Kluyveromyces lactis: one gene and its partners. The protein of the gene in region 1 interacts with the protein of each later gene in a pairwise test. Links are inferred from orthologs where the notes say so. Each region holds a gene or a part of one and is shown in the gene's direction. Other genes may lie near its edges. The genes, in order: PWP1, CIC1 and BRX1.

Region 1 (11,168 bases):
TCTTCGACTTTGGTAAATGGACATTCTCCTTTTACTGCGGCAGTGGATGCGGTCGGAGTTCATTTGAATAGTTTTATGTCAAGTGGTATGGCTATGTCAAACTCCCATTCCCACTCCCATTCACATTTACACCCGTCTCCTAAATTGCCTGTAATGAGCCCGTCCATGCTGGACATGGTACTTACTGAGATTGAATCTGATGGATCTTACCCTCAACATATGGGCTCATTACTTTCACCAGGGTTTAGTGCCCTAGATAAAAGTCAAGAGTCTCAGCAGGACGACGGCTCTGAAGATATAGATCATACTACGGCTATTGCTCTTGTAGATGATAATAAAACTAGCTTTTTGCAAGATCTACAGAGGAATACAAGTTCCAGCATCAATGCTGGAAAACTGAATGAGGAAGGTACAGATATAGTGAAATTGCAACGAGTCCAGTTTCCTGATCCGTACATGTCACATCCTTTAACAGAACCACTAATGATGGAACTGGATGCAACGGGACTGCATCTTTACAACTATTATCGTGATCATTTAGCTCAGGTGATTTGTATTGCACCAGCAAGGCAAAATTTTTATCTCCAATGTTTCCTTCCTATGGCACATAAACATAAGGGGATTCTATATGGTATTCTTGCATGGGCTGCTCATCACCTTTCCATTTCTAAATCTGTGCCAGCGCTGGATGAAGGTGGTGCTTCCACTCGACTTATAATAGATAGAGACTCGCGTTTCTCAAAGTTGGCCAACAATTACACATTAGAGTCGCTACAATGTTTATATGAACCACAGCACCAGCAATCGCCATCATCATTTTTATATTCCTTGGCTCAAATTTTGGTCTTGTGTGGGGCAGAGATATGTCAAGGGGACGTTAATAGATGGCAGATTTTACTACAAACCGGTGCCAAATTGATTAAAGAACATATTGGTGGTTCGAATTTGATTTCGTTATTGACGGATGATAACAGTTCAAAGTTCGACGCCATCGACTTGATGACCAGAAATTGGTTATTAGCGAATTTCATATACCATGATATCATGGGTTCACAGACCACAAAATTCCCCATGAACCAATATGAAACGTTATTATTATCTTCAAACCCAAATTTCACTGATTGCAATTTACAAGTCGATTCCCTACATTTGTTGAATAGGCCCATTTTCAAAGTATTGGGTGAAACTACAAATCTGATAAGGCAAATGAAATCAGAGAAATTGAACGTGTCTTCACAGAATTTCAAGACTATTATGTTCAATGCCTTGGAACTAAACCAACAGTTATTAAATCTCACGCCAGATGAAAATGGTCTTGACATTTTATCGCATTGTACAGAAGAGAATGACGACGAAATAAACTATAGGGAGCTATCCGAACACCTTTTTGAGATTTTCAGACTTTCGGCGTTAATACATTTAAAGATCAATTTTTTGAAGGTTGAAAACAATACCTTTGAAATAGTGTTTTATACGAAAACGCTACTATCAAAGCTAGATCTTGTCTTGGGAACTAAATTGGAATCGTCGCTATGTTTTCCGATGTTCATCTGTGGGATCAATTGTTTGGATCAGGATAGGGCCATAATTGAGGATAAATTCATACGGTACATTGATACTTACAAATGTCGTAATGTGGTTCGTGCACATGACATTATGCAAAATGTCTGGAAGATGGATGACGAAGGAGAATCTATAGGGTCCTCGGGGGTTAGAGAACGTGATTGGATAGATATTTGTGACGATATCGGATGGGATATAAGTTTTGCTTGAGAGAAAGGGAGTGACCCATTCTCGGTTCAGTCATAAATATAGATTCAGATCAAATGTAATAATATACAAATATGTAATAAACGATTTAGTTTCAAAGCAAGTAGACTATTTACAATAATGAGATCAAATAATACTAACAAGGAACTTGCCCTGGTATATTGATAAATATGTGATTAACGTTTAGCTCGTCATTTTTTTTACTGGTTGATCTGCTCTGCTTCTTGTGATATAAATAAAAGTCCTGGGAGGTTAAAAGATAAACCCGACGAAGTAAATTGAGAGTCCATGTCTCTAGTATATATATTGTTTGTTGTTCGATGCTTGTATGGTAGTAAATGCAAATAAATAACTGGAAAGCAGAAGGAGAATAGGCCAAATAAACCGTTTTCAGCTCGAAGTTTTGTTTAACGAGAGATCCAGTCTTTGCAAAACGAAAGTCATGCCCTTCCTGCTCTTCTGAATATTCTCATCGAACTTGCTATGTGACCAGCTCTCGATTCTGTTTCTAATCCCAATCCCAAATCCACTACTGAACTTGACCATGGATTTCACCTGAGTGCTATTCCCGTCTTTTTCAAACCTAGTATATTCTTCCACTTTTATAATCTTCGTATGATCTAAATTCCTAGTATAAGTCAGCATTTCTCCCTTCTTGGTATCGACCACTGAATGTTCAATGATCCAGGATTCAGATATCTTTCCAAGAAAAGGTTTCACCCAATTGGGAAGCTTCCCCATCTTTTTAATCAATCTAATAGATATAAGTCTCCCATCATCATCGACACGTCTAGAAAGAGTGTCGATACTCAAAACATGAGAGGCATATGGGTTTGGGTATCGGTTAAAAAATGCTATGGTGACAGCATCGAATGAATTTCCAAACGTATGTGAATTATTATGCCAGAGGACCATCGGAACAATCGAAAGGTTAAAAGATAAAACGTTGAAATGATAGTTGCCAGAACCTTGATACTGATCTCCCTACCTCAATTAGTTCCGGTGGGCTTAAATGTAATATGAAATAGTAGAATGTTAATGACAAGTGTGAATCCAAAAGCAGACTTTAATTCATCACCAGTTACTAAGGTATCACCATCTTATAAATACTATCAAGCTTTTTTCCGTATTTCGAATTTTTTTTTTTCAGTTTCTACCGACATGAAGACCGAAAAAAAGGCATTCGCTTATTCAGTCACACAATCAAGCCGTCACCCTAATCACTGACTAAACGAGTCCATTGTCCGGAATTACGATGAATATTTGAAAACCGCTGGTAACGGTTCTGGTTGAGACGATGCATAAAGTGCATCGATTCTACCTGCAAGAGATACGATCTATGTCAAAGTGTTGGCTTCTCCAATATTGAACTATATACTGCTCTATAAAATGTATGCCTAGCATCTATCATATTATCAATGCAATAGCTGCACCCAGGTAAACCAAGTTGCTTGATGAACCAAACTGATTCATGTCCCTGTTCATATTGAAAGCACCTCCGTTAGTGCTATTTACGTAAGCAGTTGTCTGTGTTGACGAAGCGCTGCTTGCCGATTGTGACAGAGTAGCTGTCGTCGAACCAGTCTCAGTAAGGGAAGACGAGGGGAGCCACCAAATCTTAGATGTATACGTTTCACCTGCGGAATTTGTGGTGGTGAGTATAGTTATTGGTTCATCGTAGTTTCTAGTTGACGTGGCCAGCGTATTGTCTACTGAAACTGTATTGCTGGCTGAGGTCTCTGCCCATACACTTGCTTGGGAAGTCACGTGATTAGTATTACTGGTCGTTGCCGATGTAGTAGCGGTTTCAACTGCAGCAGCAACGTAGGAGCCAGTAGTCTCTTGTTGCGAATATGCTGCCTGTTCTGGTTGTTGTGAGGCTGTTGCTTGTTCTGGTTGTTTCTCAGATTGCTGTGCATCATCATCTAGAGAACCTAAAACTGCTGCACTGGCAATACGTAGGAAGAAAAGTGTCACTAATATTTCAATAATTCTGTTATTCATTGTCATTGTCAGTTTGGATTACCGCTATAGATCTGCTATTTTTAACATTAAAGTCGAATTAAGGTTGGTAGATACTCGCCAAGATACTGCTGCTTATATACCTTTACGTTCACTGATCACCTCAACGTTTCCCTAAATACCATTTTTTTCTTATGCCGGCAGGTACAGCCTTTAATTTCAGATTTCTTTAATTAAAACCCAGCATAGTAAAACTCAAGTAGTAATGAGAGAGGAGGCTGAATAATGAATTAAGATGCCCTCTCAGAGCAGGCTTATCATTTAGTGAGTATAATGCCTCAATGATGATCTCCTTCTTGAAGGGACATCGAGGCAACTTCTTCTAAGAAGCTGACTATTAGGCTTTTAAATGCTCTTCCAATTTGTGACTGAAACCTGCCGTCATTTCATAATGAAATGTGACATTGAGATTCTAAATCTACATACCCACATTGCATGTTTCAACGGACAATATCAGAATATATCTTTTTTAAATATCTTAAACATTTATTTACAGTAAGACAACACCAACATTACTACGTTTTTCCACGTCAAAGGTCTGGTCTTCCTTGATACCACCAGTGATTGGGAAACATCTATAATTGAACAAGTAGAAGTTTAAGAACCCGTCACCAGGCCCGAACTTCAAGTCTTCCAAGAACAACGCATTATCTTGGGAAGTTAGAGCGTTGAATACGTCCATTTTCAAATTACGAGCTAAAATACATGCATCGTTGATCAACAGATTCAATCTCTTTCTTAATCTTTCTGTGCCCTCTGCGCTAAATCTGTCGTATCCGAAGTCGGCATCAGAAGCATAATAGAACATATAACCAATTCCCAAATCCTTGTACAATGGGTTGTTGATGATCGTGAACGGCAAGGAGTAAAACGAGACGAAGTCTGTCACCTTACCCTCGTCGTTTTCAATAATGTAGGAATATACAACATCTTCTCTGGTCAAGATCCAATGTCTGAACTCTTCTTTATCGAAGTTTGGTCTCAATTCAAATCTTTGCTGGTATTTATTGAAAAGTTCAAAGGCCTCATCAACGTGTCTTTCCTCCATTAGTTTAATGTTAGAGATTGGAGTCTTTGGTAAAGTATATTTAGCAATCATTTGGGTTTTGGTAGCGTTTGCTGGCAAAGCAGTAAACTCAACGTCGTATAACTTTGACCAGTTTAGTGGTCTATGAGCATAACGGCATGAACTGACTGGCGAGGGCAAAACCACACCACCAGTGTGCAAGGCTTGCCAAATATCGTACTTATTCACCCTTCTGGTAACTTCTTTGATTAAAATTGGCGCCAATCTCTTTGATCTCAACTTCTTGTGCACACATAAGAAGTTAATTTCGACACTACGCACATCATTACCTCTAACTTGTAAGTTGGTTGGGATAGCGCTGATAAAACCAACAAGTCTCTTGGTTTCTTTAACCCTGACACCGACTTGCCATTCCTCTTTCCAGCCAGGTGGTTTCAACCCCCAATTCAAGAAATCACGGGAATAATTGAATCTGAAGGTAGAGTCTTTGTCCTCGACATAGTTCTCATTCAATAACACGTATACGTCTTCCAACTGTTTTTCGTCATTAACGTCAACGGTACACCACTCGAAATCTCCCAATAATGGCAAGGGTGTGTCTGGAATATCCTCTGGTCTCTTACTGGAATCAATAGGCCCCTCTTTCTTGATCACTTCATCAAATTTAGTAACCGGCTGAGTCTTCCAGAACTTATACTCGTTCATATCCTTACGTTGTTGAGAGGTGAACTTCGACAAATCACCATCATGGACCTTCAAAAGTTTCAACAACTCTTCCAATTTCTTAGATTTATCTTCTTCAGACATTGTGATATATTATTTCCAGCGGAAAAGACGCGCGTTCGCAGCTACCTTAAGGTCGATCGGGGCAACAATAGCAGTACTAACAAAAGTCAACCGCTGTATCGCCTATTGTACTTCTTTTGAAGTCGTTTCAAATGTCGTTTCCCATATTGACAAATCCTAGCTCAACGTTTTTTTTTTTCAGATTAACCTGAGCGGTGTCATCAAGTCGCACATTTTGCAAACAAAATTACATATTAATGATAGAGAACATTCGATTCAAGATCATCAAGCTGCTATGACAACTATCATAAGGGCTTAATTGTTTGAGATTTATAATTGCGGCTTAACTGCAGTTGTAGATGCCATTAACACCTTATTCCTTTCCGTCTGCGCTGTTTCAACAGGGGTCGAATCCATCTACTTTCTTTTTTCTTTCGAGGTTAGCGATTCGAAAATTTTCTAACATGAGATGAGATGAGATGAGATGAGATGAGATAGGTAGTTGATAAAACTGGGACTGGTTTATGGTTTATAGGCTGTTTGTATTGATACAGGGTGTTCTTATATACCAATTAATCAGTGTATTTGTTTGATAAGTGGAAGTATCACCATGTTGTCTGCTACTTCGTGGGTACCAAGAGGGTTCGCGAGTGAATTTCCTGAGAAATATGAACTTAACGATGAAGAGATGGAAAGGATTAACGAGTTGGCCAAATTGAATTTAGATGAGGCCAAACATGATTTAGAAGAGGCTCAGGAAGCTGAAGAAGGAGGTGAAGAAGTTACAGAAGAAGTGGAAGAGCCAACTACTAATGGTAACGCATTGAAGGACCAATTGGCAGTTGATGACGATTTGAAAGAATTCGACTTAGAGCATTACGATGATCCAGAAGATGAAGCCAACGCCCAAGATGCCATGTTCATGGGTTTATCCGAGGAAGTCAAATTTTACGAGGGTGAAGAAGGTGAAGATCCTTATATTTCCCTTCCAAAATCAAAGGATGACGTGGAAGAGAAGCAAGAATTACAAGTTTATCCGACTGATAACATGGTCCTAGCTACCAGAACTGAAGATGACGTTTCTTACTTGGACGTATATGTGTACGATGATGGTGCCGGGTTCCACGATTCGGATATTCCATCAGAAAAGGGTGATGAACAAGATCCTGATGTGGCGCGTGGTTTAGTTCGTGATTCTTCGTTGTATGTACACCACGACCTTATGTTACCAGCCTTCCCACTTTGTGTTGAATGTTTGAATTACAAGCCAGGTTCAAACAGTGATGAAACTGTTGCAAATTTCGCTGCAGTGGGTACTTTCGATCCTGCCATTGAGATTTGGAATTTGGATTGTGTTGATAAGGCTTTCCCTGATATGATTCTTGGTGAACCAACAGATAACTCTATCGCCTTACCAACTAAATCAAAAAAGAAGAAGAAGAGCAAAAGCAAACATGTGACAACACATCACACTGATGCCATCCTATCTCTAGCACATAACAAACAGTTCAGAGCAGTTTTAGCCTCTACATCAGCAGATCATACTGTCAAATTATGGGATTTAAACACAGCAACCGCCGCTCGTTCGTTAATCAACATCCATTCAAATACCAATGTGTCAGCATCGCAATGGCATCCATCAAACGGTTCTGTGTTATTGACTGCTGGTTACGATTCTCGTGCTGCATTGTCCGATGTGAGAATCGAAAACGACAACGATATGTCTAAATACTGGAACGTTTCATCCGGAGAGGAAATCGAATGTGTCCGTTTTGCTGATGAAAACATCTTCATTTGCGGTACTGATAACGGTAACGTGTACTCTTTTGATATTAGAAATGGTGCCGAATCTAAGCCAGTTTGGACTTTGAAGGCTCATGATGCAGGTGTTTCATCTGTCGAAATCAACAGACATATTCCAAATATGCTGTTAACCAGTGCTATGGGTGAAAAACCTGTCAAATTATGGAAATGTCCATTAGACGCAAAGCCTGGTAAAGGTCCAAGCATGGTACTAAGTCGTGATTTCGGTGTAGGAAATGTATTAACCACTTCATTCGCACCAGATATTGAAATTGCAGGTAATATGGTTGTTGGTGGTGTGAGCCCCGGTCTAAAATTATGGGATGTGTTCACAAACAGATCTGTTAGAAAGAGTTTCCAACCAGAGCTTAAAACCTTACAACAACGAGCAAGAGAAGAGGCCATAGCTCTGGGGAAAAGTTCAAGAATCGCTAGAAAGTATACCAAAAACGACAACCCAGAAACTGTGCTCACTGTGGAGGATCAAAACGATGAGGAAGAAGACGACGAAGAAGATGAAGATTAAATTCTCGTCACACAGTTTCACTATTGTACAATATATAATGCATATTCCTAATTCTCTATAAGGATAAAACAGAATTAAAATGAACCTCCAGTCAAAAATCTCTAGACTAGTTGCAACATAGTACGTCCTTTCTAGGTTACTTACCCATTAATACATTTTCGGCGGCGTATATATCCTGTATGAACATGTACTAATAAAAAAGAGACATTCTGCCAACGAAATTTACAAATTATGATCTTACAAGGCTTTTGAGGAGTTTGTTCTCCAGAGTTTCTGATTCTACATCGATAACGGTCACTTCTGTACGTTTAAAGTTTCCCTGTTCCCTATCAGCAGAAAATGATATACTTCTGTCGGATTTACGTCTTGGTCTAATAAAAGCATCACTGATCCTTCGATAAACCTGCGGAGAGTAACGGTAGTGTGTATTTGTGTCTTTGGAGGAAAGAGTAATGGGCCTGCCATCATGATCCATATTTTCATCTTCGTTTTCACTAGTTTTTTCCGTAACTGCCTCTTCCTCGCATTTTAACCCTTCAATTACCGATTCAATGCTGTCAACATGACCGTCATACACAACTTGACACATTTGCTCGTATCTAGTAGCAAAAAAATCTTGATTCCAATCAAAACCCTGTGAATGAGCCATCGAAATCACATACTGAATCCTTTCAGAAGAACTATTGCCATTATTATCATATCTTCTTGATCCGTAGCTGTCACTGACTTCATAGGCGATCCCTGTTTCACTAGCCAACATGCTAGATGATAGATAAAACTCCCTCATAGAAAAACACAAAGTAATTGGGTAATGTTCAGATCTGCTGCAGATTGGATAAACTTTAGACAAAATATAACTCAACACACCGTTGCATTCGGCTTCATAACAAGATACCAGTTCTTTATATTTCAAGGGTTTTATGCCTGACTCTTTAAACCTCTAAACTACATCATCGGGAACAAAAGACTTTTTATCACGTGACAGTTGGTTCTCATTCGTTTAAAGGGGAATATTCATGATATTTGTTACCCGGAAAATTCAGTAAGTACACCACAGTATAACGCCCGTAAGATAGAATAAATATTCAAATATGTATATGGTGATCTATGAAACAGCCACGTACAATATGCAAACGAAGAATAGCTGTATATCGGTTTTAACATATCAGTTCAATGCAATCATAGTTATAGTACAAGTAGATATAATATTGTGTTTCAGGTACACAAGCCCAATGGAAAGAAAATTAACTATCTAAGCCACCTGTTTTCGTTGATACTATTTATCAAATCATCGAATCCTGAACTTGAAAGCGTCAAGAGCTAAAAGACTACAGTATGAGTAGAGTTTTGAGCAGGCGAGATATCGCTGATAGGATTGCTAAGGGCCAGACGATTGTAATATATGAAGATTCGGTCCTGAACCTGGATAAATGGATCAAGTTTCACCCTGGCGGTGACAAATCTATTTATCATATGATCGGTCGCGATGCGACCGATGAGATGAATGCATACCATGACGATCAGACCATAACAAAATTTAAGATATGGAAAATTGGCCGCATTGATTATCCATGGGAGAATATGCTGCCTCCGATTCAAGGTGGTAGGTTTTCGAAGATTGATGAGAGGGACGACATCGGTGATTATGACATCAATCTCACATCGAAGTGGAGATCTGTCGATGAATCCAATCAATACACTAAGATACCTAAAAATGATAGGCTGGCAAGTGAAGCTGAGGTGAAGATTTATCCGAAAATACCTCAAGGCGTTGTACCATCTCTTGATTTGAAAGAAGCATATGAGAAGAAAATTGTGGTGGATCCAGCAATTGTGTCAGAAAACTACGATAACGAACGTGTTTACGAAGATTTGACGAATTTCCCATCGTTAGACGTTAAGAACCAGGAATGGATCGCATCAGAGTACAGGAAATTGCATGGAGAAATTACTGCTGCTGGTTTGTACCAATGCAACTATGTGCGCTATTTGAAAGAGTTCCTGCGAATTGGTACTCTCTTTGGAATCTCATTCTACTTGTTGTCGTTGAAATGGTTTGCTATATCTGCCATTTGCTTGGGATTCGCATGGCAACAACTTGTTTTCATTGCTCATGATGCCGGCCATATTTCAATCACACATAACTATCAGGTCGATAATATCATAGGCATGACTGTTGCTTCATGGATCGGAGGATTGTCGTTGGGTTGGTGGAAGAGAAACCATAACGTGCATCATTTAGTGACTAATGACCCAGTACACGACCCAGATATCCAGCATTTGCCATTCTTTGCGGTCAGCACACGTTTATTCCACAATGTTTATTCTACCTATTACGACAAGTTTCTTTGGTTTGATAAATTTGCCCAAAAAGTCGTCCCAATTCAACACTATCTTTACTACCCAATTCTTTGCTTTGGTAGATTCAACCTTTATCGGTTGAGTTGGATGCATGTTCTCTTGGGTCAAGGTCCCAGAAGGGGAAAAGCTGCTTGGTTCAGATATTACGAACTGGCTGGGCTTTCCTTTTTCAATTATTGGTTCTTTTATCTAATCATTTACAAACAAATGCCGACAAATGCAGAACGTTTCAAATATGTTATGATATCACACATCGCTACCATGATTGTGCACGTCCAAATAACATTATCACATTTTGCGATGTCTACATCTGACCTTGGAGTCACTGAAAGCTTCCCCATGAGACAGTTGAGAACATCAATGGATGTAGATTGCCCTAGATGGCTTGATTTCTTCCATGGTGGTTTGCAATTCCAGGTAATTCATCACCTTTTCCCAAGGCTACCAAGACATAATTTGAGAGACGCACAATCACTAGTGATAAAATTCTGTGATAAAGTTGGCATCAAATATTCGATCTATGGGTTTGCTGCTGGAAATGATGTCGTCATTTCTCATCTTCAACAAATTGCCCAGCAAGCCCACACTATGCTGGAATGTGCCAAAACAATGAAGAAGGAAGCTACGGATACAGAATTTCATACTAATAAGCATGTGCTTGCTGCAAATGTCAATGAAAAAAGGAAGCAAGAATAAACATGTTCTGGAGTATTCATTAACAAATATTTATACATTTTTACAGTTTATCACTCATATTGCATTATCAAACATATAGATATACCTAAATTATACCATACCGTTCCAGTCATATACGACGTGAATGTTCTGCTTGCCGTGGAGCTGTTGTAAACATATCGCTTACACTACTGCACG
Region 2 (10,708 bases), on another chromosome or scaffold:
GTCGCTTTTTCAGAGTGACCATGTGTATACAACACGAATCCTTGTGCGAGGTTGTGGTTCAAATTAACATATTTTGAAGTTACGTTCTTAAACTCATCTAACGCAGCCTTTACATTTTCGATATCGTCATTTTCCAGGTATAATTCCAATGCAAACAACCAAATCTTCTGCAATAGATAGTCGTTACTCTGATTGATTTGAGGACCAAGGGGTTCTGAAGCATCTGAAAAGAGACGCTGATAAAGTTCGAATACCTCTGGCAAAATTTCAAGTGCATCTTCAAGTGCAAACATGTCTCTAACTAGTTGAAGTTGAGTTAATTTAATGTGAATAAACTGCCATTTTTCATCAATTGTGAATTGCCTGCCTTCATCGAAAAGTTCACACATTGATTGAATGACAGAATTGATAATTTTGAAACTTACTTGTAAATCTTCATTGATGCAGGATTCACATAACGCAAGAAGATGCCAACTAGCGAAATGTTCTGGATGAAGTGTTAATATTTGTTTTTTTAGATAAGCGATGCATTGGTCAATTTGTCTTAATGTAGCCAAATGATAAGCGAACTTAAACTTTAATGACACAGAAGCGTTCAAAGACGTTTGCAAAGAATTCGATAGGTAAAATATCTGACTGTGATCTACCAAGGCTGGGAGAGAAGAAGCGCTAGTTTCGTATAACGTTTCCCATGAACTGGATAGAACAGAAGCTGTTGATGAGGCTAGACATAAGTCCAATACATCTGAGCTGCCTTCTAGTGCCTTTTGTTTTTCTATAATAGGGATACTGTACTTGTTGTGAATTCTTTCTAGCAACTTTAAGAAATCGGATGATACGTTTGCTGGCATGAAGAACGGTTCAAATGGCGTTTTACATGTAGACAGAATGAATTGGTACGATGAAACTAAGTCTAATAAGTCAGGATACCTTTTGTTAAGTTCGTAATATTTGTTTGAATAATTGACCAAATTGGTAAAGTTTAGAATGCTCCTCTTTAGATCGACCTTTCGATAAAAGAGCATTGCTGATTTTGCAACCGAAATACTTTGGAAACTTTTTTCCATACTATCAATGATAAATTGCTCCCATTCTTTCTTCACATTTAAATTATTTATTTTGAGATGCTCTTGTAGGACCATGTGGAATTGTTCTAGTTCAAAATTATTTGATTCATCAGCATTAGGGAAACGACTTTTCTTCAATAATGAATGGCTATAAGATAGAAGATTTGAGTCAGTTGCAGAACCATTAAGGGTCAAAAGCATCCATTGGAATGGTGTTTTTGGCTTAAAATGAGAGAGGTCCAGCCCTTTTATTATTGCCTGCAAATAATGCCAAGTTAAGCCATCAGAATATTTCGGAATAGTCCAGCTTTCAGAGGAAAACTCAGCTAAGTCGACATTTCCCTTATAAAATAGCCTTTCCAAATCTAGCATTCTTCCAAATCTATCGTATCCATTAACGCTGCCTAACTTCTTAGAGACGTACTGCAACCCCTTTTCCTTTTCATCAAGTTCACAGAAAACAATACCATAGATATTGTCCGCAATTGCACAGTGTAATTCATCCTTTAGAACGGGCAACTTCTCCACTTCAGATAAAAGGGCCGACAGTGCACTGAATTTTGTCTTTGTAGAAATGTTTATGTGATAATGGGCTCTATAATGAAGAGATAATAATTGATCCAGCAAAGCATCTGACGATTGAAAAACGCTTGAACCAATTAGTCGAGAATCTAAAGCATGATTCACCGAATCATCAATGTATCCTCTGGTCATAGTACAATTGACTTCCGAATGCTTCCGTGATTCAACCAATTGGTAAGCAAATACAAGAGTGCTCAGTGTATTACTCAAGGCTCTTTCTCTTGTTTACTCTCTGTGCTCGGTGAAAATAGCTTTTAGTTTATTTTACATTTTGACATGTTTCCTCACCATCTAACGGTGCATAATGGAAGTGGAAGTGAAGAAAAAGTGATCTTACCCGGATATTCTTTTGTAAGGTATTGCCCTTCCTCACCATGGGAGTATATTTATGGGAACCTAATAGCTACTACAGTTATTATATATGAGGGTATAGATATAGCATCTTACTGATGTTTAATTGTGCAGTTTGTTGAACGATGAATGCGGTATTATATAAATCTTTCTACCTAAGAGGCTAACATAAAGTTATGACAAAAGGGTGTCAGCTAAATGTGCTTCTCATAATCATTTCTTATTTTCGGATCCTGGTGTAGTTGTAGTTTCAGCTTTTTTCTTCTTCTTCGCGGCATCGATTACTTCTACCTTAACTTCTTTCATACCTTTTTCCTCTAGTAAAGAATGTATATATGCTTCTACTTCATCTGCCAAATCACCTTGAACAATCACTTCTTCTTTCTTCTCGGCATTTTTGGAGATAGAACAACCTGTAGCAAATTTGGATGCAAAAGTTTTGGAAAGTTTCTTCATGTCAATTTCGAAAACTTCTAGTCCAGAGATAGCAATCATACACTTCCGTTTTGTTCTTGCTTCTCTTCTGATCACAACTTTAGACGATAATTTCTTAGCCAATTCTCTTTCCTCTCTAGCCTGTTGTTTTCTTTCTAGTTTCTCTAGGGCCTTTTCAAGCTTCTCCTCTCTTTCATCACCAATAGATGATTCTGCCAATTGTTTAGACACATCTTCAGTGACATCGCCATACCATTTGGTGTACAATTCTGGGTGGTTTTCTTGTAACCAAGCTTTACAACGTTTGAATTTACCGGAAAATTCACAGTATTCAGCAGGAAAGTCACACACACCACAGTATATAACGTTAGTGAGAGGCATTCTGTATATTCTTCTGTCTCTTTAATTAATTCTAACGTATAAATCTCAAACTGAATCAAGCGTAACTTAATTACACGTAATGTTATTCTGAACACACCTCATCTCATGCATTAGTGATTTTCTGTTTCAATATTTTTTTCAATATTTCACTGTAAAGATCGATTCACTTTCTTCAGTAACTACGTAATCTACTACTTACATATACTAAGTGTTTACTTAGACATGCACAAATAGCGGCGAACTTTGGTTACACTCACACTGAATACACTTCTTTGGAATGGCAACGTATGATGATTTTGCTACTGATACTGTAATAATAACGTCAAAGACAAAGGACGTGTGCTCCAAGCCCTTGTTTGATGAGATCGTAAATAAGGTGCAAGAATGTGTGGTGGATACTCGACAGATTTACGGTGCGGATGCCGTGCGTGTCATTACACTTCCTGGATTCAAGAGAATATTGGTAACATCGCCTAATATTGAGGCGAGCCGTGAAGTGAAATCCTTGAACCCATTATTCCCTGATTGTAAATTTGGGTTCTCCATCACGAATCACGTGGCTGAATCGAATTCACAAGCTGGATTTCCACACGCTGGCGCTGACACTGTGATGAATCACCTTAAAGTTCCCCCTGCCCAGACATTATTTCTAGTGTCTCCGCCAGCGTCACCTCCTCCGGGATTTGATTACTCTAGGCTTGAAGAATGGCCTAATCGTAACACGGGACATGAAGAGGCTGGTGCAGGTATCGACGATGATTCAAAACCTGCTGTTCGAAAAGTGTTTGACAATGGACATACCCGAATAATAGTTGAGGGGTCTACAAACTCTGAACCAAACCATACGGCTTTGATGCAACATATCAAGACCGCGATGCCACCTATCTCAACGTTTGACGATATAGAGGATTAACTATCGCGTTTAGAGACATAATAACCCGCAGTTTTCTGCGGAGATGAGGGATCGAACAGGGGAACCTGCCTACCGAGAAAAAAAAAACCTTTGAAACCACGCGACTTCCGGGTAATTGTATTTGTATTGAAGTCACGTTCTCCCGCTGTCCTATTACCCGACTATGTGGTAAAAATCATCGGTGACGAACCAATCATATGCCAATACGTTCTCCTTCCCCACAAACAAGACACCCTACAGAACGGTCGGACCAGTCTCAATCAATGCCCATTACCCCCCAGCATATTTCACGAATGTGTTTTATTGGATTCTATAGATACTGCTTGTGGGGTTTATTATCACGGACTTATTATCTTGTTTTATAGGACATTATTTCGAAGATTATGAGAGTTAAGGTTTCATTTCCTTTGAACATGAGATCTTTAATCTGACATCGCTCGACTGAAAAATGACAGGCAGCAGAAAGTCAAGAAATACTCAATTCAAATAATTAAAATCGAACTAGATAAACGACTTGCTCGTAAGTACCACATGTAGGATTTTTTGGAGTGTGAACTTTTGTTGCAACTCTGCCGATGAATTATGTTAGCCCTCTTTTTTTCTTCCATCCATTTTCCATAGACACACTATTTAAAAAACTGATAATACCACTTTTTTGTAAACTACTAAGAAGATGATGCATACAAAGAATAAGATACAATAAAAGTTGTTTCGAATGGAACGACTCACTCGAGGTTCAAATTTGTGCTATTCGTTTCGCAAGTTATTACTCTTACTTTCCTTTTAACAATCTCGTTTTTATCTAGTTCAAAGACGTAGCTATCCACTAGTTTAAGTATTTGAACTGTTTGTTGATATTTGTCCTATGCGATTTTAAGTATTTAATTTTTTTTTTTTCATTCTTCATTACTTCAAATTTTTAAAAAAACTCCAGAGAAAATTATCGGTCGATTTACCTTTTACCTAACCTATTTGATATATCTTTAAAGCGTTTTACATTAAGTTTTAATTACAATAGAACTCGACTTTGAATCTTTTGTGAATACGGTTTGTTATAATTCCTTTTAGAATAGCTATTTGATCATCTTAATACAGTGAATCAAATCCAAATCCCGAATCAACCAATACAAAGAAAAATATGTTGTCCAGAACTTTGTTGAGAGCTGCTATGCCAGTAAGAGCCGTTGCTCCGGTTATGATGAGAGCTGCTGTTGCCCCAAGAGTTGGTCAATTACAATCTCAATTTGTTTCTATCAGAAAGTACTCCGATGCACACGAAGAAGAAACCTTTGAAGAATTCACCGCCAGATACGAAAAGGAATTCGAAGAGGCTTACGATTTATTCGAAGTCCAAAGAGTGTTGAATAACTGTTTCTCTTACGATTTGGTTCCAGCCCCAGCTGTTATCGAAAAGGCCTTGAGAGCCGCCAGAAAGGTTAACGACTTGCCAACTGCTGTCAGAGTGTTCGAAGCCTTGAGATACAAAGTTGAAAACGAAGATCAATACAAGGCTTACTTGGATGAATTGAAGGATGTTAGAGAAGAATTGGGAATTCCTTTGAAGGAGGAATTGTTCCAATAAGTGCATATAGAAGAACATTTAATCTAAAGTCACCGGCTTTATCATCTTCTCCCATACTATTTTCACTTTTTGAGAACCTTTCACTAGGAAGGAAAGAACAATACTTATCCACAACACCAACAACCAAATGAAACCAAAATAAATATCATCAAAAACTATATTTACGAACGTGTCCCATCCTATGACACCATATATTCTTGTCACACATTTGTTTGTTTGAGGAGGTTTTTTTGGTGCTGACTACTGGTAGTAGCAGATACGAAGACATTATTTATTTGCCAGGACATATACAGAACCGTGAATACAAACCTTCAAGAAACATTTACAAACAATTCAAATAAAATCAAGATTATTATTATTATTATTATTATCATCATCATCACAATTATTATAATTATATATATGTTATACTGACTAAATTATAAGGAAAAGTAGTTATATATCAAACAAACAGCTATTAACATACGCGTTTAGTCTATTTAGCGGTAGACAGAAAAATGTGCTCTTTTGTTTTCACTTGATCGTATGTTAGGTTATTGCACCGTTACGAGCAGAAGTAATTTTATCTTGTTTGAATTCATACAACTGAAGTTTTCGAGTTTTGTTATCTCGTGTATCACCATCTAGTTCAGAAATAATGCCACATTACTGAGAAGTTCGATATACCAAAGATACTATTATTGATGTAGAATTGATATATAAATTCTTCTGCAGTACAAACTGAATACTATCAACCGATGGTTAAAGCCAAGGTGAGCGTTATATAAATTCTTATAGGAAACAGATAAGATCCAGCAATCTCTTTGAACGTAAATATCAGCTCCTTTATACCTGATTTTATTCGTTCTACTAGTATATCTCTGGGTAATATATAGATAGATAGATACAATTGTAAGATTAATATTGGTGTTCGATGTCTGTGTTTCTGTCGGTTCGACTACTCGTCATCACTGTCCATCCATGCTGCTCTTCCTCTTTTGTTAGATATTTTACCGTCATCGTCTGAGTCTGATTCTGGTTCTGAGTCTTTTCGTTCGGTCGCTCCTTTTCTTCCGTAATCCGCATCTTCGTCTTCTTCTTGTTCTTCTTCTTCTTCTTCGTCAGAATCTATTCCAACAGCTTTTCTACGGTTTGAAGAAGGCTCAGTATCAGAGTCACTCTCGTAGTCACTGTCACTGTTTTCATCTTCAGATTCGCTATGTTTCCCTTCGTTAACTTCCTCAACCGCATCAAACCAGTCACTATATACATCTACCGGTTGTGATAGACCATTAATGCGGGTTTGGAACGATTGTCCACAAATCTTACAATGAAGCGAGCCAATGTTATTCTTTTTGTCCATTGTTACGCTCACAGAGCGTTCGTGATTACAGAAGAGACAATTGAATGCCGTATCTAACCTCTGTACTATCTTCTTGGCTGGACCTCTGGATGACTTCTTTCTCTTACCCATGTCTAATGCTCTTCTTATTTGTCTTGTGAGAGCGTATGCTTACCCCTGCGGCTAGATTTGATTAATATATGCTAATATGCCTTTTGCAGTATAAATGAACGGGGACGATGACTATGTTTACGATATAATAATAATAATAATAATAATAGCAACTTAATAACTCATAAATCAGATTCGTGCGGCGTATTCTCTGTTAAGGTATCCTTTATATCGATCGTGAGTCCTGTTTGACAGCCGAAAAAACCTAACTCAAAAATAGTACTGTTCCGAAATAAACCAGAGAAAGAAACCCTAAAATACACAGTTTAAGCCCTTTTGTATTGTAACCCCATTCACTGAACGTAGCCCGTTGCTCATTAGTAACTTTTGCACAAACACGCACCGAGATTCAATATCAGATTCGGTTACTCTTTATTTCTTAAGTGTCAAATGTTATCAAATTTCAAGAAAAGTTTCAAATCATATATTACGGCCTTCGCTTTCAAAAAGCAATATTTACTAACTACGTGAACACAGTGGAGCTCCTGCGAAACAGAAAATTTTTATTTTTGACAATAGAGAGCTCATCTCATCATAGCTCATCTCATCTCATCTCGAAGTATGTTGCACACCTAACACGATTAATAAAGTAATGGTATGTAAAGTATTTAAGTACCTATTCTTATTTCTCAGCTCAAAGGATTGATTAGATATATACTGGATATTTCATAGTTGCCAGTACGAACTCGAGAAGTAAGCTTACCTAGGTGAACCAACAATTTGTTGATCTTTTTCTGAGACAGTGCGAATCAAGTAAGTTAAAAAACGCTTGGAAAGAATCCAGAATATAGAGGAAATAACTCCACTCATCCAGTCTAGTATATCTACAAGCACATTATAAGCAATATCAAAGTTTAGATAATATGGCAACTAAAACTAAGAAAAGCAAGGTTTCGACCAAAGCCACCAAGGCTACTAAGGGCAGTAAAGAGGAAGAAGTCATTCCAGTTAACAGAGTTAACAATGCTGTTATTAAATTGCAAGAATATTTGAAGGAAAATGGATCAAATGACAATCAGTTAATTGATGATTCTGAATTGGAGGCTCAGCTACAGTTGATCCTAGTCAACACTGAATCTTTTACTGGTTCTTTGAAAAACTTCAAACCAAAACTAATTACAGTTCCTCATTCTATCTTCAAGCCATGGAAGGAAGCTAGCACCACCATGGTTAAAGATTTCAAGACTCTTTTGATTCTAAAAGATTCTGATATCAATTCAGTGACATCAGAAGACTTGATCGATCTACTTCCAGAACATATTACTATTGATGCCATCATATCTGGTAAAGATTTGAAGACAAAATACAAGGCTTTTGAAAAGAGGCGTGCATTTGTACAGGATTTTTCTTTCATTCTAGCTGATGACTCGATAGTGACAGCTTTGCCCAAGCTATTAGGTGGTAAAGCATACAGTAAGTTGAATACCACTCCAATTGCCATTAACACAAGATCGGATAACAAGTTTAACAAGACAACTTTGGTAAATAGCATCAAGAGAATTTATGATACTAAAATCCCAGTCAAACTTCCAAGAGGTAACACGATGAATGTTCATCTAGGTTCATTGGAATGGTTCACCCCAGAACAATTGACTGAAAATATCATTTCTGTCGCTAAACAGTTCATCGAAAAGTACAATATCAGAACCATTCTTCTCAAATCTAACGAATCACCAGTCCTTCCATTATACGTTAATTTGGAAGTATTAGACAAATTGGTTGGGTCCAGACATGATGCTAAGACTTCCGTTCAAAATGTCATAGAAATTGATGGTGTCGAATTGCAACTATCACAATTTGAGAAATCTTTGTTAGAAATTGCAAATCCAGACGAACTAGACTCCTTGTTTGCTACGCAAATTAAGCAAGCCAAAAGAAACTTGGAAGAGGTCGAGGCAGAAGAAGAGCAAGAAGAACAAAAGAAAGAGCAAACGAAAGAACAAAAATCCAGCGCTAAAAGACAAAAGACAAAGAATAAAAACGTAAAAAATTAGAGGTACAGGAGTATCGCGTTTTTTTTCATTCCTCTTTCTTAATTTCTATCCTTCACAAATATCGTCTTAAAACTTACCCATTTAGCATAGATTTAACGGCTGTCACCGCTCCTACAATGATAGTTTTCCCTACAAAATGTATTTAATCTGTACTCAAATTTTCCAGATAGCATCGATACTTTGCAATTCATAAAAGAATAACAGTAGTTAAATTCAGTGCGTTTTCGAACCAGCAGGAAAACGTTATTCCTAGTATTGTTTGGATGGTGCAAACCCATCGCCGCTCGAACAACTTTTCTGATGTGCCACATTTAGGTTTGCTGGTTTTTCTGTGTGGACTGGTGCGTCCATGCAGTCAGTGAAGGAAAAGGAAAAACGAAAAATAAAAGTGTCACAAAAAGATTTAATTACTATATTAAACATATGTCAAATATTATATAAACCACAGATTTCACAAACTTTCACATCATCACCTCTGTTATTCGTGCTTATTCGTAGTTTAGTATATACACTATTATTTACATCTGAATCAATTAGTATTTTCAAGTTTTGATTGCATTGCGAAGACGCCGAGAATCAAATGAGATGCCACAGAATATTGAACGAATAATTCATACATTCCAAAGCAGAGTAGACACTTTACAAACTGATTGGAACGTTTTATGCGACGCAGTGTGTAATAGCAAGTGTCAAAGTGTCAATGGTCAAATTGCCCTGTTAAAATCTAAGTTAGATTTAATACAACAACAGCATACTGGGATTATTGTTGATTTAGGAATCATTAAAACACATCTTTTAGCTCATGATTTGGATATGAATAACCAGTTTTTAACCGAGGAACAAGAAGTGGATTTTGACGTAAATAAAGAGAATGAAGATCCTCTACCTCTACTTGGAATTGATGAGACTGAAGCTGACATTTCGGAAGGGCCAAAAGTTTTCAAAGAAGAATTTAAAAATGAAATTCTTTTCAGTAGTCTCAGCAGAGAAGCGGAGAACGCATCGCGAGAAATGCCATCAAGGTACAAGGTAGCGAAATCACAACACTCGAGCAAAATCAGACCTCTCGGCGCAAAAGATCTGAACAATGTTGAGAACTATCACCTTATAATGACAGATTGTCCCAAAAGCGTCCATGACCTTTACCACGAGTTTTATACAGATACAAAGCTTCAGATCTTGCATTTCGAGGAGAAACATGGTGCAGGTCAATTGTCTAAATTACCCAAGTTGAGAACTTATCAGCGCCGCAGCGCATTGGTGAATGCTATCAACAAATATGCAAAGGGCAAAAATATAACCGTTGAGCAATCCATCGAACACTTCCAAGGTATTGTTGAGGAAAATGATAAAACCATACCATGGTTATATAATAATTTAGCCAAAATTTTGGAACAGTATGGTATTGTACAATAAAATGATTAGCAAACAGCTGACAACTCAATCCTTCAACTAGAAGATGTACTGTTAAATCTTTTATATCTAAACAACAAAAAAATAAACAGATAATGATATATGAAAAGTTCAATATAAGATGCATTGAATGGGGTTTACCTTCTTCCTAATTTATTAATGTACGATGGTATTTAGTCGATATGTGGTCTTTTCAGAGACGTTATACCATGGCACCTTCGCTATTTCTAGACTTTGCTGCACGGATAATATCATTCCAATTACAATGAAATACAGCATAGCTTTGGAAAATGCTCATGAAAACTAAACCAGAAGTGATACCCCACCATAATCCACTAACACCAAATCCGTAATGAAATGTTAGCAAATATGATACTGGGATACCTATGCAGTAAAATGCAAAAACGTTGATGTATCCTCCTATCTTTTGTTGGCCTTGGCCTCTCAAACAACCTGCAGTTGAAGCATTAAATGCATCAAAAATTTGCATGAAGGCCA
Region 3 (10,212 bases), about 160 kb from region 1:
ATGGCCCGTAAACGTTATAGTATAACGATAGTAAAACCGTTGGAAAATGTTTCAGTTTGTTGATCATCAATTGACCCGATTCAGTGGAAGCATCTGGAATAGTTCCATCAAGATCATGTAGCGGAACGTCAGACAAATCTTTCAAATCCTTGGTATAGACTGAAGGCGGAGTGACATCGTCCATGGTGTTACGGATTCTTTCGCTTGAGATAGGTGTATTAGCAATACTATAGTATGATGGATGTGTGGTACGTCTCCAGAAGTCAGGCCATAGGATAAGACCAGTATCCTTATAGGATTTTTCTTCAAAGATCCCATCCAATGGTTTGATTGGGAAATTGTCTGCGTCTAGTAATAGCAAATTCTTGAAGCTGGATGCGATGATAGCCAATGATTTGAATTGATAACCTTTGAAATCGGATTTTTCTATCAAGTCAGGTGGGAAAGCATCTGACAGATAGATACACTTAGCGTTATACTGAGGTAACAAGACGTTACAGAATTCGTCGTCACCTTCATCACTAGGGGGGATGAAAACTTCTACTGGTAAAGTTGTGCCGAAATTTCTTACCGTTTTAATGATAAGGAAAGCCATCATCGAAAATTTACCACCACCAACTGTCACTATACCGTCTCCACTATACGTATCCTTGGGCAACACTAATTTACTCAATGCATGAACGTAATTTGAATGGGCCTCTTTTAACATCAGCCGTTGTTCTTGAGAAAGTTGCAAACAGTTGTTCAACTCTTCAGTGGTAAGTTTCCACCACTGGTCTGTGTTCTCTTGCCTATACCCAATATCACCGTTCAAACTACATTTTTGGTTATAAGTAGCAATATTAACTCCAACAGGACCAAATTCCTTCAAATACTTGAAAACTTGACCATAAAACCCTTGGACCTGTTTCTTCTTTGAACTGGGGGTAGAACTTGCGCCAACGTTATCCTTTACAACACCATCATTATTATTTTCGTTATAATAGTTATTATTATTTTTTATTTTATCGCCATTGATCTTGTTATTACTATCACCATTGGTATTGGTCTGTGATCCTTGCTTGTCACCCTGCTGTTGGCTCGCTTCCTGTCTCGCATCATCGTACGAAGAGCCTGTATCCTCATACTCTTCAATGAACTGCTGGGTATACTCTTTCAATGAACTTGTATAATCATTGGTTGCAATTTCAGATTTCAAATAAACATGGATACTGTTCAACACCACGACTGCTAAAGCAAACGCAACAACCACTTTGAACACTTTCTGGAAACGTTTCGTAGTAAACACCATAACAGACGTAAAAAAAAAATTTGATGAATGTTATTCCGTCTGATGAGCTTGGCAACTATTTCCCGTATTATTTCTTATTTCAATCGATGAGAAACGCTGTAAGAACAAAAAAAAAAGTGTATTAAGCACTCGCCAACCACTAACAAAGCCAATAATCAAAGCGAACGCGTAAGGACTCGAATATCGACCTCAAAATTGAAAACAACTTGTCAGTTAAGTTTCTAAATAACAACAAAACAAAAAAAAATTTGTATTGGACCCTTAAAATCCAACACAGGAACAAACCACAAATAAGATGAAACGTGGATTGTATGAGAATACCTGTACCTACAGCTAAATATCAACCTTACCACGCATTAAAAAACGCGCTTTTAAACAATTAACTCCACGAAAGATCGCCATAACATTACTGTTTTTTGTCATTTGCCTTTATATAACAGAAATTGTGTTGATGTTTTTTTTTTTTCAATTTCAAAAATAGATTTTTTGCTGCTAAAACTAAGCAGAGCCAAGATTTGACATCTCCAGCCGAAGGAATGTCATTTACAGCCGTGGAAAATCGGACGGTGCAGAACCCTGATGCCTTATTTACGTACCTACCTATGACATTATACACTGTTTACGGTTTATTTCGTGTCTTGTTTCCAGTACAGGGGGGAGACCGAGTACAGGAGTGAATTGGGGGATTTTTACTTCCAACTTTATCTGTGCAAAGTCATTAGTAATGATAAGTCTTTTATCTTCCCAGTTCCTATTGATATCTCGATGCCCTTTTTCGTACCTTTCTTCGCAGGCTCGCGCACCGTTTAGGGAAAACTTGTGCAACCGTTTTTCTTTTTCCTTTTGTCTCGTTCGTAACACGTGCCTGGTATCTCAGGTGTTTAGTATGTATAGGATATCTAGTTCCCTATATGTTACGGATTGATTTTGACATCTGGGTGATTTCAGTAGCAATGTCACCGGTTAGTTTTGAGTATGAGACCGTTTCCAGTAGTTTGTTGCCGTTACCAACCGATTGGACCATATCAGCGTACGATTTGAACATCGGGACGCAAGTATCTCTTGTCTCTTTTAACTTGGTCTTTATCAGTTGCTTGACGCTTTTGTCCTTGATGCGTTTCATTTGGTCTAGTGACTTTAACGTTGCCAAGGTGATTAAATAGCTATGGTTCAATTCCCATGTAGACTTGCTGATTTCTGGACACTGTTCTATTAGCATCGCCATGGCCTTGTAGTCTATGGCCTCTGTTTCCAGGGAGTTGTAGAGTAATTTGATGAGTTGCCAGGTCCATAGTTCGTGCTGAGACATCAATTCGCGCAACTCTTCATCGTTTGTGGTAACGAGTGTATCGTCGATGAACCTATTGCGTTCGTTTTTAGTTAGGCTGTAGAAGATCAACTCTCTTGTAATGCTGATCTTCAACCATTTGGTACCGACGTGGATTGGTGCAAGCACCGTTTGGAATCGGGTCACATCGTCTGTACCAAAAATGTCAAAATCTCTGTTATCGCTCCAGTTTTCGTTGTGGAAGTTGTTTTCGCCGAACGTGTTCAAACTCTCAATGAGTGGTTTGTATTGGTCAAGTTTCTTCTCGTTCAATAGCCTGGACATTTGCAACGTTTCCACCATAGCGTCCCACCTGGTGAACGATTGGAAGATCCTCTGGTAAAATTCTACGATTCCAGGTACTTTGCACCAACTTCTACGTTCAAATGAGGCAACTAGGAACCCACTCATGTTCTTTAACGATGAATAGATCGCCTGTGGCTGTAGGCTTCTTTGACAATACTTGTAGTTCTTGTTAGGCAGGAACGTCGAGGAACGTGTGAAGAGCCAGTGGTTTACCAAATCGTTTTGAACATTCTTGATGTTCAACGTCTCCAAATGGGCAATGGCTTTCTCTGGTAATCCCAGATACATGTATAAGAGAACAAGCCATACCCTGGTGTCATAGTTGAAGGGGTCTTCTGCTTGGTAACCTTCCAAGAGCGAAATGGACGTAATGACGTTCTCTAAGTTCACTTTGGAGTCTTGGCATAGGTCTTTCACGATTTCAAGGATGAAATACGAGCAGTTAGAGTAATCTGTCTTTGGCTTTGTTGACAAAGATTCCTTATGTTTCAAGAACAATTCCAAATTATCACCTTTGCCGAACAATTGAGCAACAGCTTTGTCGTGTATCAGCCCCGAAGGCAGCTTTGAAAACATGGTCTCGATTTTCACTGGGTTCAATTCCAAGCTATGAAGATCGATTGGACAACTAGGTTTATCATGATATTTCTCGATGAACTGAAACAGGTAGTGATCTAGCCTATCGTCATAAAGTTTTGCTGCTGCGACTCTTGCTAGTATGTAATTTCTCGTATTCTTGATTTCCAAAACTTCCAATAACTCATCGAATGACTTGCCAAGTTTGTAACTTGCATCTATAATCTTTTGCAAAATACCATAATCGTCAAGGTTATTCAATAACGAGATTCCATGTTTCCAAATGAGTTTATAATCGTCTAATTTCACCAAATGGCCCATAAGGAAGTTTTTCAAATAAAGGTCTAAGTAAGTACCATGTTTCCAAAACTTGAGGATCTCGTCCACGATCTCCTGTGATTTATCCTCAAACAATTCACAAACTTTACAGAAAACGATCAACTCTTGCTCATTCTCAAAAGGTTTCAAATCGCTTGTCAATTTATATGTCAACTTAGGTAAAAGATCCAATTCCCTTTCGTTAATGTTATCTTTATCCAACTGAAACCATACTACAGTAGCAATACTGTTCCAGAATTGGAACAATCTCGATTTCGATTTTTCATTGACTCGTGGCATCTGGAAACTACTCTTACTCAAATGTCTCCAATTTAAATCCCTCAATGACTCCAAGAACCAATCATAACATGTCTCCGAATTACCGTATTTCATCATTGCTCTTTCATAAGGTTCCAATGCACTGGTGGTGTCAAAACCTAATTCCAACAAAAATCGATGGCACATTGATAGCGATTTCGCATCGCTTGGAGGAGATTTGGCATCCAAGATCAACTTTAACCCATTTTCAAAACTATATTTCGCAGGAGATTGCCTGTACTTGACATATTGCTCTAACACTTTGTAATAAGTGGCGGATGGGTACCGTTTCTGCAATGATGCAACAAACTGTGAAGCTTTCTTAAACAGTTCCCTATCTAATAGCTGAAAAAGCTGATGATCTTCAGAGTTCATATCAACAGTTTCCACTCTTCGTGTTGGTCGATATCAAATCTAACAGATCAAACAGCAACGAACACCGTTACTGCCAGACATACCGGGTTGTTCTACGAACGACGTGCGTATGAGGTTGTTCATTAGAAGTTTGAATGCTGAATTAAGCCAATATCGTAATTTTTCAGTCTTGATTACCCGGATAATAAACTATAACTGTATGTGTATCCATAAATGTAAACGGCACAGCCTAACAAGGGCATCAGCGCTCTTACTGCTTGAAATATAAACGCAAGACCTCACCATACAATCCCCACCCGCGTTGAATCTGATAGAAGCCAGTTGGCAGACGATACGAACATTTTCTTTTCGAGAAACTATCCTTTTCTATTTTAAATCATCACTGATGAGCCTTAGTTTCTTTTTCGGTACATTGAAAATTTTTGAAAAGTTAGAAAAGGCGATGAGATGAGATGAGATGAGATGAGATGAGATGAGAAGAGGTATTGAACAAGGTTGTCCTGATCCTTCCAATCTATACATCGTCGGTCTAAACACTTTGAGATTATTGTATTACACTTGAGTAGTTGGAAGGAAGAAAAAGCCAAGAACTGCTAAGCAAATCCTTCTATAATGTCGAGTATTTTCAAGACTTTGTCTCGTAAGGATAAAGACGGTAAGAAGAACAAAAATAATGCGGCTAACAGTGACAGTAATGAGAAACAGTTCATGAATAAGCAACGTACCTTACTTATTACGTCCAGAGGTGTTACTTATAGACATCGTCATTTGGTTCAGGATTTGAACAGTCTTCTACCACATTCGAGAAAGGAACCTAAGTTGGACACGAAGAAGGATCTAGGACAATTGAATGAGATTGCGGAATTGTACAACTGTAATAACATTATATTCTTTGAAGCTAGAAAGCACCAGGATTTGTACCTATGGCTATCAAAGCCACCAAATGGACCAACAATCAAGTTTTATTTGCAGAACCTACATACCATGGACGAATTAAACTTCACTGGCAACTGTTTGAAGGGATCCAGACCAATATTGTCATTTGATGGTAGATTTGATTCTGAACCGCACTACCGTTTAATTAAAGAACTTTTTATCCATAACTTCGGTGTACCACCTCAAGCTAGAAAGTCCAAGCCATTCATTGACCATATCATGTCTTTCAGTATAGTTGACGAAAAGATCTGGGTAAGAACGTATGAGATCTCGCATGAAGCTAGGAACAACGTTGAATATGAGGATAAAGAAGAAGATGAAACGTCGTTAGTTGAAATTGGCCCACGTTTCGTGATGACACCGATTTTGATCCTTGAAGGTTCATTTGGTGGTCCAAAGATCTACGAAAACAGACAATACGTATCGCCAAACTTCGTTAGATCTCAAATTAAACAACAGGCTGCCAAGGAAGCTAAGACCAGAGCCGAAGCTGCTGTTGAAAGGAAACTAAAGAAGAGAGAAAGTGTCTTGGCTGTAGATCCATTATCCAACGATGCATTGTTCAAAGATTAAAGTACAATCCAGAACTCTAGAAAAAATCATGATTTATATATTGTCAACTTAGGAGAACGGCGTTCTTCCTGCTCAGACTTGTACATATGTATACTCCTATATATATGCTTTTGAATGGGCTGTTTTTGATAATATAATTTTTCGTTTTATTCCTAACTATACTATACGTTAAAGTCGTACATGAATATTTAATTTATTTAGTTAACTTGGGGGGCCAGAATACCAGTTAAACTTGAAGCGTCATGAAACGTCATGGGGAAAACGTTTTTACATTTGGTGTGAACCACAGTGTGCTGTTTGAAATGTTTTTTTTATCATTTGTTTGAATTTTAATAGATTTATTAATATTTTACTTGCCCAATGCCATTGCATTCTTCTATTCCCCAAATACGAAGATGTTATGCGTAGTAATAACAAATCATACTGTATAATTTTCAGGAAACGTGAATTGAACAGTCAAGTGGGTAGAATTAATAAGGAAGTAAAAATGTCCTGACTTTTATCTTTAGTGCTTTTCAGCGTTGGCAGTATGCTTTTCCAAGTAAGCCTTGATGAAATCTTCCTCACCCTTAGAGGAAGTAGAGTATAATGGCTTGGCTGGTTGCTTAGACTTGAATGGGTTTGGAATAACCAACAATAATACAGCACCTAAAGTCCCTAGGGCCAATTGATGTGGTTGAACAGTTCTACCCAAAATTGTGTATGCAGCACTCATCGTATATCAAATTATTTTCTTGGTCTATATTCTAACAGAGTGAATCTCGAACAAAGGTGTATAGGATACCACTAATAACGCATCTGATCCAGTGCAAAAGTTCGCTCAAAACCGCCTTGTTCTTTCTAGTGAGAAGAATTCGAAACTTTGAAATTTTTCAGCTTTGAGAAAGGAAATCCTGCTTTACACGCTTTTTAAGAGTAAATCGCTCAGAAACAGACGTAGCATATTCTTCAACACACCCATACACCTCACACAGTTTACTGGACCAATCATGTAAGAGCAGCTCGTATAAAACTGGTAAAAACCAGAGAGTACACACAGTTTAACGTATGTTTACTGCTGAATTCTGTCAACTGGATACGGAAGACAATAGAATGGACACATAATGGTCTCAATACGACAATTCAACGGCTCTTAGAAGGTGAGTTATTCTTGACATTTTCATGGCTCTTCGAGCATGCTTTCTAAGATGACGCGGAAGGTGAAAAAGATTAGAAAACGGCCATTCACGTGAATATCACGTGAACTACAAATTCATGATATATTACCGCCAATAGTATTGGTGGTTACCCGATCGTATCGAATGTACTGACTTCGAAAATATGAATAGTCCTCTTTAAAACAAAGGGTTTTCAGTGACCCTTACTCCATCATCTCCTTAGTATTTGGTCTACAGACTGCCATTGCCGTATATTCAGGGTAGTAGTCAGTACATCGGTGTCTGCCATGGTTTCGATAAAGTTTCTTTTATCTTTATACGGCTGGCTATCTGTCACTTTAGCCATCTCGTTGAATGCCGTTGTTGATAGTTTATTCTCGAACAGTTTCGACGGGAATAACAACATCGAGGATCATGAAACTGCAAATTATAACACTCAGTTTAGTGTCTTCAGCTCAAATATTGACGACGCTTATTCATTGAGAATTAAACCTTTGGATCCCAAATCTCTTGGCGTTGATACCGTGAAACAATGGTCGGGATATTTAGATTACCAGGACTCAAAACACTTCTTTTATTGGTTTTTTGAGTCTAGAAATGACCCAGAGAATGACCCAGTGATACTATGGTTAAACGGTGGTCCTGGCTGTTCCTCTTTCGTCGGTCTTTTCTTTGAATTGGGACCTTCTTCTATAGGAGCTGATTTGAAACCCATTTATAACCCCTACTCTTGGAATTCCAACGCTTCTGTGATATTCCTAGATCAGCCTGTTGGTGTTGGGTTCTCATACGGTGACTCTAAAGTGTCTACTACAGATGACGCTGCCAAAGACGTTTACATATTCTTAGATTTGTTCTTTGAAAGATTCCCTCATTTGAGAAATAACGATTTCCATATCTCCGGTGAATCATACGCCGGTCATTATTTACCCAAGATTGCTCATGAGATTGCTGTAGTGCATGCTGAGGATTCCTCCTTCAATCTATCGTCAGTATTAATTGGAAATGGATTTACTGACCCACTGACTCAATACCAATATTACGAGCCGATGGCCTGTGGTGAAGGTGGTTATCCAGCGGTGTTGGAACCGGAAGATTGCTTAGATATGAATAGGAATCTACCTCTATGCCTATCGCTTGTGGACCGCTGTTACAAGTCCCATTCTGTTTTCTCTTGTGTGTTGGCTGACCGTTATTGTGAACAACAGATTACTGGGGTTTATGAGAAATCAGGTAGGAACCCTTACGATATTAGATCTAAGTGTGAAGCAGAGGATGATTCCGGTGCCTGTTATCAGGAAGAAATTTATATCTCTGATTACTTGAATCAGGAGGAAGTTCAAAGAGCTTTAGGGACTGATGTGAGTTCTTTCCAAGGTTGTAGCTCGGATGTCGGTATCGGTTTCGCATTCACTGGCGATGGACCGAGCCCATTCCACCAGTACGTCGCAGAACTTCTTGATCAAGATATCAATGTCTTGATATATGCAGGCGATAAGGATTATATTTGTAATTGGCTAGGAAATCTCGCTTGGACTGAAAAATTGGAATGGAGGTATAACGAAGAGTATAAAAAACAAGTTTTGAGAACTTGGAAGAGTGAAGAAACAGATGAGACCATTGGCGAAACCAAATCTTATGGCCCGCTAACTTACTTGAGAATCTATGATGCTGGACACATGGTTCCTCACGACCAACCTGAAAATTCATTACAAATGGTGAATTCATGGATTCAGAATATCGCAAAGAGATCTAGAATATAAGCATATTTCTTTACAATTAATTTTAAATACAAGCACCCTGAGGTATATACTGTATGCAGTTTGTTGCATATCTATCATTTCTTTCGCAATTGTTCACTTTTGATTCATTCTGTACACTCTAATAAGGTTTTGCAACCTAGTAATGATTTCCACACATTCTTCAGCCGACACAGCTTCGAAATAATATCTCCGTTCTCTATCAGGTCTGTGAACAAAAATCTTGAAATATTCTGGAACGCGCTTAGACCTTTTCACCAGGGTAATTTGGCTTATATGGAACGATTTCGTCTTGACGTTTTCGTGTGTCCAATTGAAATCACCATCAGGCCCACTTATATAAACGTAGTCACCATCAATGACCAACATCCTCTCGTGTTTATTGATGAATGACATTTGTTGTCTTCTCCATACCTTATATTTATAGTAGGAACCAGCAAAGAGATCTTTGTAACTGTTATTTCCAGAAACGTTATTTGATGGTTTGGATAAACTCCCAAGTTTAGGAGATTTCTGGCCATTGTTGAGAGAAGATTTTGAGGAATTTTTGAGTTTAAAAAAGCCAGAGGTAGAGGAAGATGTGTTATGCTGCTTGTTGATACTGAATAAATTCTTTGAGCTTGTTCTGTTCGAGGTTGGTCGACCACTGTTAGCAGAAGTTTCTTCTTCCTGTAGAGTTTTATTCAACAATCTGTTATCGTTTGCCATTGTTAGCGTTAATGGTGTTAGTTCAGTACTCTGAATTGTTGGTAATACAGGTTGATTGGTAACGGCTTTCATTCTTTCAAATTTTTTCGTTCTTGCGTCCTTCTTCTTCAACAGTTCCACATTATAATTACCATCTAAGCTTGTAACGTAGTCATTCAAGTCAAGAATTAAATTTCTCTTTTCCATTTTTAATACGTATTCCGTTGGATCGAGGTTCTTCAACTTACAGTAATTGACTAATACTTCGTTAATCTTGGAAGTCACAGGTATTCTGATGTTTGTGAAATTGTACTGAGGATTCAAATTAGGATACAAGAACACTTTTATATTCACATAGTTAGAACCAGAATCAGACATTTGTGTATTCTTAGAGGGAATAATCGATTTGTAGTAACTTAATTGATTGAGATGAGACAGCCCGTCATTGCTATCTTCTTGATCGAAGTCATCGGTCATGACACTTGGTAAGGGTGTCTCTTCTTCATTCCGTTCAAACTGTTCATCGTTCAATACTTTGCATATGACAACCTCATTATCAAATATTGTGTTGATCTGCTGAGTTCTCTC

What was found.
Region 2: the proteins of PWP1 (region 1) and CIC1 interact in a protein complementation assay, tested with the Saccharomyces cerevisiae proteins (2 studies listed by BioGRID). The link is inferred for Kluyveromyces lactis from reciprocal best matches to the Saccharomyces cerevisiae genes PWP1 and CIC1.
Region 3: the proteins of PWP1 (region 1) and BRX1 interact in binary tests that used the Saccharomyces cerevisiae proteins (3 or more experiments, as listed by UniProt). The link is inferred for Kluyveromyces lactis from reciprocal best matches to the Saccharomyces cerevisiae genes PWP1 and BRX1.

What each region holds. Positions count from the first base shown.
Region 1 is NC_006041.1:1,730,474-1,741,641, reverse strand, and holds PWP1 (rRNA-processing protein PWP1), read left to right. Parts: upstream 1-6,215; coding exon 6,216-7,934; downstream 7,935-11,168. Other genes in the region: UGA3 (Uga3p), read left to right, coding at 1-1,773; UPS1 (Ups1p), read right to left, coding at 2,161-2,685; NCW2 (Ncw2p), read right to left, coding at 3,178-3,780; glycylpeptide N-tetradecanoyltransferase NMT1, read right to left, coding at 4,283-5,626; UGX2 (Ugx2p), read right to left, coding at 8,164-8,721; KLLA0_E19471g (fatty acid desaturase), read left to right, coding at 9,270-10,991.
Region 2 is NC_006042.1:2,031,224-2,041,931, reverse strand, and holds CIC1 (Cic1p), read left to right. Parts: upstream 1-7,666; coding exon 7,667-8,797; downstream 8,798-10,708. Other genes in the region: YPP1 (Ypp1p), read right to left, coding at 1-1,781; TMA22 (Tma22p), read right to left, coding at 2,214-2,816; COX6 (cytochrome c oxidase subunit VI), read left to right, coding at 4,868-5,311; ELF1 (Elf1p), read right to left, coding at 6,249-6,764; KLLA0_F21824g (transcription activator GCR1-like domain-containing protein), read left to right, coding at 9,383-10,213; KLLA0_F21802g (MATE family efflux transporter), read right to left, coding at 10,413-10,708. UniProt on the Saccharomyces cerevisiae protein: An adapter protein that specifically links the 26S proteasome to its substrate CDC4 which is one of the substrate recognition subunits of the SCF E3 ubiquitin ligase complex. Required for turnover of cell cycle regulatory proteins CDC4 and GRR1.
Region 3 is NC_006041.1:1,573,611-1,583,822, forward strand, and holds BRX1 (ribosome biogenesis protein BRX1), read left to right. Parts: upstream 1-5,123; coding exon 5,124-6,020; downstream 6,021-10,212. Other genes in the region: alpha-1,2-mannosyltransferase MNN2, read right to left, coding at 1-1,291; MDM20 (Mdm20p), read right to left, coding at 2,199-4,511; KLLA0_E17821g (S10 family peptidase), read left to right, coding at 7,465-8,940; AVO1 (Avo1p), read right to left, coding at 9,034-10,212. UniProt on the Saccharomyces cerevisiae protein: Required for biogenesis of the 60S ribosomal subunit.